2 linked regions of the Canis lupus familiaris genome follow. The protein of the gene in region 1 binds, or shares a complex with, the protein of each later gene. Links are inferred from orthologs where the notes say so. Each region holds a gene or a part of one and is shown in the gene's direction. Other genes may lie near its edges.

Region 1 (3,805 bases):
AGCCCAATGCGGAACTGGATCCTGGGACCCCCCCGGGGTCACGCCCTGAGCTAAAGGCAGACGCTCAGCCCCTGAGCCACCCAGATGCACCAAGTCCTCTTAAAGCTATTTTAAAAGTTTTTTGTTGTAAAGAAGTGTTTATCCTAATGTGGCCCCAAGCCTCTCTTCCCGTTGCATGAACTCCTTAGTGTTGTTCATTGCTTTTCCCCGACGGAATTTTGGGATCTAATTAATAAACTTCTTATCACCTGGGCCCACTTTTCACTATTCCTTTCAATATTTCGGCTTTATCCTCACCAGTATGAACTAGGTGGGAAGGAGAATTTCAGCAGCTCCTTGCCGTTGCTTCACCCTAAGTATGTCTCTTTCGTGTTTTCTGCCTCAAAATTCTCCATCTCCAGGATGGTACCTTGTTCGATGGTCGGCCAATAGAGTCTCTGTCGCTGATAGACGCCGTAATGCCTGATGTGGTGCAGACCAGACAGCAAGCTTACAGGGATAAGCTCGCACAGCAGCAGGCCGCAGCTGCCGCCACCTCCACAGCCGCCACAAACCAACAGGGGTCTGCAAAAAATGGAGAAAACACAGCAAATGGGGAGGAGAACGGAGCACATACTATAGCAAGTGAGCTGAAATAAGAATTTCTAAAAATTCCTTTGCAGGAAAAGTATTTTGCTTTGTGTAGATGTGTCATCTTCTAAACTGAAGTAACATCGTCTGTTTCATTTATGCCAACTTGTTCCCTTAACTTGTATCACAATTCAGATTTTTATTCCTGAAGCTCCAAAAAGCTAGATTTACTTTCATGGATTTTATTTTCTTCTTTAAATATTTAGAAACCATTTTCTACTATAAGATAAATTTTGTTGTTTGCTCTTGACTTTGAAAGAAAATTTGTAATACTAGTCATTAACCCAGTAAAGCTCTGACATGGAGATAGGAAGGCAACTCTCATGTTATATGAATGATATCAGCAACCCCTACTGGCAGAAATTCAGAATAGTGTTGGCATGGACTATATTTAATTCAGATCATTTTATCATTTTAGCCTTGTTTGGCTCTAACCTTTTTGCAGTCTTTCTCACTGCCTCCTCATCACCCCAAACACACACACACACACACACACATACACACACACACACACACACATCTTTTTAAAAATAGTAGGGTCAGACGTAACTAAAGATAGGAATTTATTTCTCGTGTGACAAGTGCTGTATAATTATTTTTGCCATTACCTGACATAGTTTTTTGGTTTTTGGTTTTTGTTTTTTGTTTTTTTACATTATATGTTACAAGGGAGGTATAAAATGCTGGTTAAGAATTATTTTCCCCCCTCAGGGCGTTATAATAATACCTAACCGGAATTTTCCACTTGATTCTCATGACACAGATAATCATACTGATATGATGGAAGTGGACGGGGATGTTGAAATCCCTCCTAATAAAGCAGTTGTGTTACGGGGCCATGAATCCGAAGTTTTCATCTGTGCCTGGAACCCCGTTAGTGATCTCTTGGCATCGGGGTATGTTTCTTAATGTGAGACTTAAATATCCTACTGAACGAGTACACATTTTATAAAAGCATTACTGACATGTTTTTGTTGCTTCTTTGTGGTCCTTTTGTCTCTGTAAATCTTTATTTCTTCATAACTTAATCTTAAGTTATTTTTTGAAAAGGTATACTTATTTGAGAGAGAATGCGCACACACAAGCAGGAGGGGGAGAGGGAGAGGGAGAGGGAGAGAATCTCAAGCAGCCCCCACACTGAGTACAGAGCCCGACTTGGGGCTGGGTCTCAGGACCTGTGAGATCATGACCTGAGCCAGAAGGAAGAGTCAGTTGCTCAACCAACTGTGCCCTCCAGGTGCCCCCATAATCTTAGAAGTTTTAATTAAGCTTCTTCAAAAGTGCTGAGGGCCCCCAAAATGGAGACTAAGGAATATAGTGGAAATGGAAACCCCAGAGAGTCTAGTTTTTATTTGCCTTATTAATAATAGTATGTAAATATGTTGCTTTGATTCTGGGATACTTGAGAATATCATGACAATTTAAAATATATTGCATACTTTCTAGGTCTGGAGACTCAACAGCAAGAATATGGAATCTTAGTGAAAATAGCACTAGTGGCTCCACACAATTAGTACTTAGACATTGTATACGGGAAGGAGGGCAAGATGTCCCAAGCAACAAGGATGTGACATCCCTAGATTGGAATGTGAGTATCACTGTATTATCCGTGATGACTACAGTTCCTAATCTACTTAACATCTCTGAACCTCAGACTAATAGCAGCGTTTGTCCATTTGTTCAGATATTTTTGAATTTCACTAATAAGAACGACAACCTAGGACTCCCCGTTCTCAAATATGCTATTAAATCAAAGGCTGGCCCTCCAGCAGTCAGACCTAGGTTCGACTTGCAGCTCTGCAGTTGATCTTGCAGCAGAACCTTTGTCACACTGGTGGTTGCCCCTCTGCACTTCATGCTCCTCAAATGTTAGGTAGAGGTGTGGTAATGGTAGTACATAAATGGGGTGATAGATGAAAATCAACAACTGGCACACACTAAGTCCTTAACTGCGAAGTCCTTTGCTAGGGGTAAGAGAAATTTGCAAAATAAAAGCATGTTCTTGTTTTTCTCATTTTGCTCAGAACTGCTGAAGACTTCATTGCCGACTGCCTTTTAGGGACCATTAGTCTAGGCTCTGCTGTAGCTGTGGGAATCTTACAGTTAGCTGATCCTCTATGTCATTCCACATCTTTCAGAGATACCTTTAGTGCTCTGACTCACCAGAAAGTTTGAGCTCCTCGTTGACAAAGCTTCACCCGTCGGTTTCAAGTACATGATAACCAGCTCTGTTTGTTTCCATTTCCAACTATGATTGATTTGTGGAAAATTAGCATTTTTAAAGTTCCTGTATATTTTCCTTTATTCCATGTTGCCTTCTTTCCTTCCTTGTGACTTTGCATCCATTTTTTACCTGTCTTCCCAAGCCTAAGAAACATCTTAGACAATTTTAGTATTCTTGAGCATTTCATGGGGTTCGTGGTTCTTTCTTCAGCAAACAAACACCCTTTCCTCCTCCAGCCCCTGTCCAACAACTTTTGTGCGACTTTCCAAAGGATCTTCCAAATCCAAATCTCATTCCAATGAATGAGGTCTTTTTTTAAAAACGGTTTCTCCAGCAGAAGTTCTCAGTTCTTATGAAATTTTTCTAAAACAAATTCCTGTAGGGTCAGGACTAAGAATTATCTTCTCAACATAGGACCTTATTCTATCTTAAGTCAAAGGCCTTATTGCCCTCATATACTGTTTGGCTCAGAAACCATTTATTTTAACTTAATGAAATTTACAGGTTACCGTGAAAAGGATGGTTAACAAATGTTTGTTGAGCTTGGTGATTCTGAACTGCAAGTTATAGTTTGTGGAAGTGTGGACTTTTCAAACATATTATTCACTGTGAATTTGAATCTTCCACCAACGGGAAAACATTATCCTTGATGAATGGTTCTTTTCCATGACTAATGCAAGAGCCTGTGAGATACGCTATCTTTAAAGTATTCTTTTCCTACTGTGGTGGTCCATGAACTAAGACATCCGGGGGCCAGGAGTTTTAAGGAAGCTTCCCATCGTGCAGAGTCTAGAAGTTGGCTTTTGCTCTTGGTTTCAACATGGCTCCTTCTTCAGATGAAACTGTGGAACCAGATTCTGGAAGGACTGAACCTACATCCCCTAGTACCAGCATCTGTTTGTTTTTCACTTACCTGTACAGCTGACTGGCTTGAGAGGTCTGAAAAAAGGC
Region 2 (4,580 bases), on another chromosome or scaffold:
GAGCCCCCCCGGGAATACGCGCTGCCCTTCGGCTGGTGCAGGTTCAATCTCAGGTACACGCAGGGCAGGGTCATGCGTCTGCTTTCGTGCTCTTTCTTCCTTGACGAAGGAGGCTCCCAAGAGGGTGCGTGGAAGAAGCCACAGAACCTTTACTGGTCGAGGGGAGGATCTTTGTCCAGTCTGCCCGGTCTACACCCTAGGGTGAATCCCCGCCTGGAAGCTGGAACGATGACTAAGAAGTGGCACATGGCATATCACGGGAGCAACGTGGCAGCCATCCGGAGGGTGCTAGACCGAGGAGAGCTGGGAGCAGGTCCGGGGGCAGGGGCAGAGAAGGGGCAAGCCAGGCCTGGGCCAGGAGGCTCTCCCTGCAGGCACCGCCTCCATCCTGACTGGCTCTCCCCGCAGGCACCGCCTCCATCCTGAGCTGCCGGCCCTTGAAAGGCAAGCCTGGGGTGGGGTTTGAGGAGCCTGGCGAGAACTGCGCCCCACCCCGGGAGGAGCAGCCCCCTTCCGTCTTGCTGTCCCCCTCCCTCCAGTATGCTGGGGCCGAGACCCTAGCGTCCAAAGTGCAGTGAGTACATGGGGGCTGGGACTGGGGTCTCCATGGCTTCCCATTGGTGTCCCCGCTGTGACACTTGGGTCTTGTCTCACTCTAGCACATTTACTGTTGAAGGTGACTAGTACTGTGGAAATAAAAGTAGAGTGGGACGCAGTGGGTCCCAGGTGTGCTTTGCACAGGTACAGGCACACAGTAGTCAGGGTAGACATGGCGACGAAGGTTAGGTTTGGGCAGAGGCCTGCAGAGGGAAGCCAGGGAGCGCCCTGGAGAGACCCCAGCAAGCAGGGGTGCGGCCAGAGCCAAGCCACCTCTCTCTGGGAGGTGGGAGTGACCCCCCCCCTCCCCCCCCCCCCGCAGGCAGCCGAGGGAGGAGCCTGGAGGCCTCACGGCTGGCCTTCTTCTTGCCCTGCAGATTCCGGGATCCCAAGTCCCAGCGAACGCACCAGGCCCAGGTGGCGTTCCAGGTGTGCGTGCGCCCGGGCTCCTACACCCCCGGACCCCCTTCGGCCACCCTCCGAGAACCTCCCGACCCTCACTTCAGCCCCGCAGAACTCGAGTGGATAACCAAGGAGAAGGGGGCCACACTCCTCTATGCCCTGCTGGTGCGGGTGGAGTGAGGGCTGGCCTCTGGACGACAAGCACAGTGGGGCCCCCCCGGCCCTGGCTTAGCATCCCCTGCCGCGGCGGGTGCTCCCCGAGCCCCCGGAGCCCCCAGAGCCCGACGCATCTCTGGAGCAGGAACGCATCTCCGCGTGCAGGGCCCACGCCTCCCACTCGGGGCCGGCAGTCTCCCCTCATGCACTGACTCGGGGAACACGACTCCCTGGACTCCCTCCCCCGGATCACTTAATTTATTTCCGTTTTCGTTCCTGTTACTGTGAATCCCGAGGAGCCTCCCCGGGCCGCCGGGCGGAGTGGGGGCGGGCGCGGGGAAGGTGGGCCTCTGTACAGTTGTTACGGACGCGGGTTTCCAAGGAGCCAATAAACGCTGTCCCAGAGCGCGCGCCTCGGCCTCTTTCTCATTCATCCCCCTCTCGCACCGCCCCCCGACGAGCCCCAGGGCTGCCCAGCTGGGGGCGCCCGGCGCGCCGACGGAGTTTGGCCCCCCGCGGCACCCGTCGCAGCCGCTTCCGCCCTTCCCTGCGCCCGTCCCGCGAGGCCGCCGGCCGCCCCGGCTCCGGAAGGACTCGGCCCGGCAGCCGGATGTGACGCGCGGCCGAGGCGCACAGGAGCCGCGGAGAAAGCGCAGCGAAGGCGGGTAGGGAGGGGCGGGCGGCGCCGAGGCCGGAGACCCCAGCCCGCCGGCGCACGCGGAGCACAGGGGCACCCGGAGCACCCGGGACCGGCCGGGCGGCGGAGGGTGGGCGCCGGGCACGTGACCGGGGCGGCGGCGGCAGGCGGGCTTCCGCCTCGGCCCGCGGGCGCGACCCTCCTAAGCGCCCGCTTCTCGGCAGGCCCGGCCCAAGGTCTGGCAGTCCGTGACAGAGCCGGGCGCCCACGGCCCGAGCGTCCCCCGTGGCACCATGCCCGCGCTCCTGGAGCGCCCCAAGCTTTCCAACGCCATGGCCCGGGCGTTGCACCGGCACATCATGATGGAGCGGGAGCGCAAGCGGCAGGGTGAGCCCGGCCGAGGGGGAGGACCCCCAAGCCCCGCACCATGGGCACAGCGCCGCGCCGCGGCCGCGCGGGAGGAGGGTGGGACGGCCCGCCACTGGTGGAGGGAGCTGCAGGCCGGGTCCGGGCTCCAGAAGACTCGGGCCGGGAAGGACCTTGGAGAGCACCTGACATACCCTCCCTCCCAGTCCCCTGGGAGGAGAGGAGCAGAGGGAGCACTGGCACCGGCAGGTTTCCCCGCTTCTCCATCTCTAACGTCCTAGTGTTTTAACCACCCTGCGTTCTTCCCATTGCACCTGGTTCTTTCTCCAGAGGAAGAAGAGGTAGACAAGATGATGGAACAGAAGATGAAGGAAGAGCAAGAGAGGAGGAAGAAAAAGGAGATGGAGGAGAGAATGTCACTAGAGGAGACCAAGGAACAAGTAAGCAGCCCCCTGCTCTGTCCCAGCTTTTTCCTCCTTTGGCTCTCCTGCCGTCAGCTCCTCTCCCCTGCCTTCTCAGATCCTGAAGTTGCAGGAGAAGCTGTTGGCCCTTCAGGAAGAGAAGCACCAGCTCTTCCTGCAGCTCAAGAAAGTTTTACATGAAGAAGAGAAACGGAGGCGAAAGGAGCAGAGGTGGGATTGGAGAGCTAAAAATAAAATTGAGACAGTAACTGGGATGGGTAACACCAGATGGGTGTCTGATGGCAAAAGAGGGGGCACTTGTCTTCATTCTTGGTTTTGACCTGCCTGCCTTTCACTGCAGTGACCTGACCACTTTGACTTCAGCTGCGTACCAGCAGAGCCTGACCGTCCACACTGGGACTCACCTCCTCAGCATGCAGGGTGAGGAATGAAGAACCCGCTTGTTAGAATGCACCCTCCCGGGGGTTGCAGCCACCCCACTGCAGCCTCATGAAGCCCGTCTCCCTGTCTAGGGAGCCCTGGAGGACACAACCGCCCAGGCACCCTCATGGCGGCTGACAGGGCCAAACAGATGTTCGGACCCCAAGTGCTTACAGTAAGGAGTAGCATTGGGTGTGTAGCCCGCCATTTCCATGCAGACACGGGCACCCGCATTAAACAAGTATTCAAGTCACCAATGTTGTCCAGCACTTGACCAAATGGTGGAAAATTGGGCACATACAAGGCGCTTGGGGTTCTGCTTTGGAGGAGTTTCCAGCAGCAGCCAGCGCTCCTCTTCCTTCCTCAGACGCGACACTATGTGGGCTCTGCAGCTGCCTTCCCCGGGACCCCGGAGCATGGCCAGTTCCAAGGCAGCCCCGGCAGTGCCTATGGGACCGCGCAGCCCCCGCCTCACTACGGACCCACGCAGCCGGCCTATAGCCCCAGTCAGCAGCTCAGAGGTGAGCCGTGGGTTGGGAGGGGGGCGCTTCCTCCAAGACCCAGAGGCCGCTGGTCCCAGGCAGGCCCGAAGGAGGCTCGACAGGCTGTGCCTCCTGCCTCCCTCAGCACCTTCGGCGTTCCCAGCAGTGCAGTACCTGTCGCAGCCGCAGCCACAGCCCTACACGGTGCACGGCCACTTTCAGCCCACCCAGACAGGTGAGGATGCCCCCGCCAGGGCCCCAGGGCTGAGCGTCCTCCCCGCCTCCGCGTTCCACACACCCATCCTTCCCTTTGTAGGCTTCCTCCAGCCTGGCGGTGCCCTGTCCTTACAGAAGCAGATGGAGCACGCTAACCAGCAGACCAGCTTCTCAGACTCTGTGAGTACAGAGCCTGGGCAGGGCAGGGGCAGTGCTGGGCCCAGGGGTGCCCCAGGCCGCCTCGGACCCTGACTCTCTTCTCCGTAGTCCTCCCTGCGCCCCATGCACCCACAGGCTCTGCATCCAGCCCCTGGGCTCCTCGCCTCTCCTCAGCTCCCGGTGCAGATGCAGCCAGCAGGAAAGGTAAGGCCAGGGGTCGGACCCGGCTGGGGCCCTACCCTTCCAGGGGGAAAACCAGATTGTGTAGGAGAGGCGGCGCCCACCCCTCCTCTCCCATTTCCTCCTGGGGTGGGGATGGCTGGGAGTTCGGGTGTAGATTGAGGGGCAGGGTACACACCAACGAAGTCCCCCCACTTCTGCCACCAGTCGGGCTTCGCAGCCACCAGCCAGCCTGGCCCTCGTCTCCCCTTCATCCAGCACAGCCAGAATCCACGATTCTACCACAAGTGATCATCAGATTTTATCTTCAGCCTCAGCCACAGCCCCTGACGTGGGTGAGGGAACTTGGTGTCCCAGTCTAATAAAATTTACCTGCCTCTGCCCCTCTGCTGCTGTGTGCATCACCTCCCTCCCGGGCTGGGCCAGGGCTGTGTGGAGGGTGAGGAGTGACAGGCAACTAACAGGTGAAGCTGGGTGGGTGGGTAAGAGGGAACTCTTTGGCATAGTTGTTTATGTGTAATTTCTAAGTTGACTTTCTAGTCA

The links.
Region 2: TBL1XR1 (region 1) and GPS2 share a complex: the UniProt entries of both Homo sapiens proteins name them as parts of the N-Cor repressor complex. The link is inferred for Canis lupus familiaris from reciprocal best matches to the Homo sapiens genes TBL1XR1 and GPS2.

The regions. Positions count from the first base shown.
Region 1 is NC_049255.1:40,849,223-40,853,027, reverse strand, and holds part of TBL1XR1 (F-box-like/WD repeat-containing protein TBL1XR1), read left to right. Parts: intron 1-401; coding exon 402-624; intron 625-1,393; coding exon 1,394-1,526; intron 1,527-2,076; coding exon 2,077-2,218; intron 2,219-3,805. UniProt on the Homo sapiens protein: F-box-like protein involved in the recruitment of the ubiquitin/19S proteasome complex to nuclear receptor-regulated transcription units. Plays an essential role in transcription activation mediated by nuclear receptors.
Region 2 is NC_049226.1:32,479,340-32,483,919, reverse strand, and holds GPS2 (G protein pathway suppressor 2), read left to right. Parts: upstream 1-1,701; 5' UTR 1,702-1,820; intron 1,821-2,016; 5' UTR 2,017-2,085; coding exon 2,086-2,179; intron 2,180-2,488; coding exon 2,489-2,598; intron 2,599-2,677; coding exon 2,678-2,790; intron 2,791-2,920; coding exon 2,921-3,000; intron 3,001-3,092; coding exon 3,093-3,175; intron 3,176-3,367; coding exon 3,368-3,521; intron 3,522-3,627; coding exon 3,628-3,717; intron 3,718-3,798; coding exon 3,799-3,878; intron 3,879-3,965; coding exon 3,966-4,061; intron 4,062-4,244; coding exon 4,245-4,328; 3' UTR 4,329-4,420; downstream 4,421-4,580. Other genes in the region: NEURL4 (neuralized-like protein 4), read left to right, coding at 1-53, 201-313, 409-574, 975-1,179. UniProt on the Homo sapiens protein: Key regulator of inflammation, lipid metabolism and mitochondrion homeostasis that acts by inhibiting the activity of the ubiquitin-conjugating enzyme UBE2N/Ubc13, thereby inhibiting 'Lys-63'-linked ubiquitination.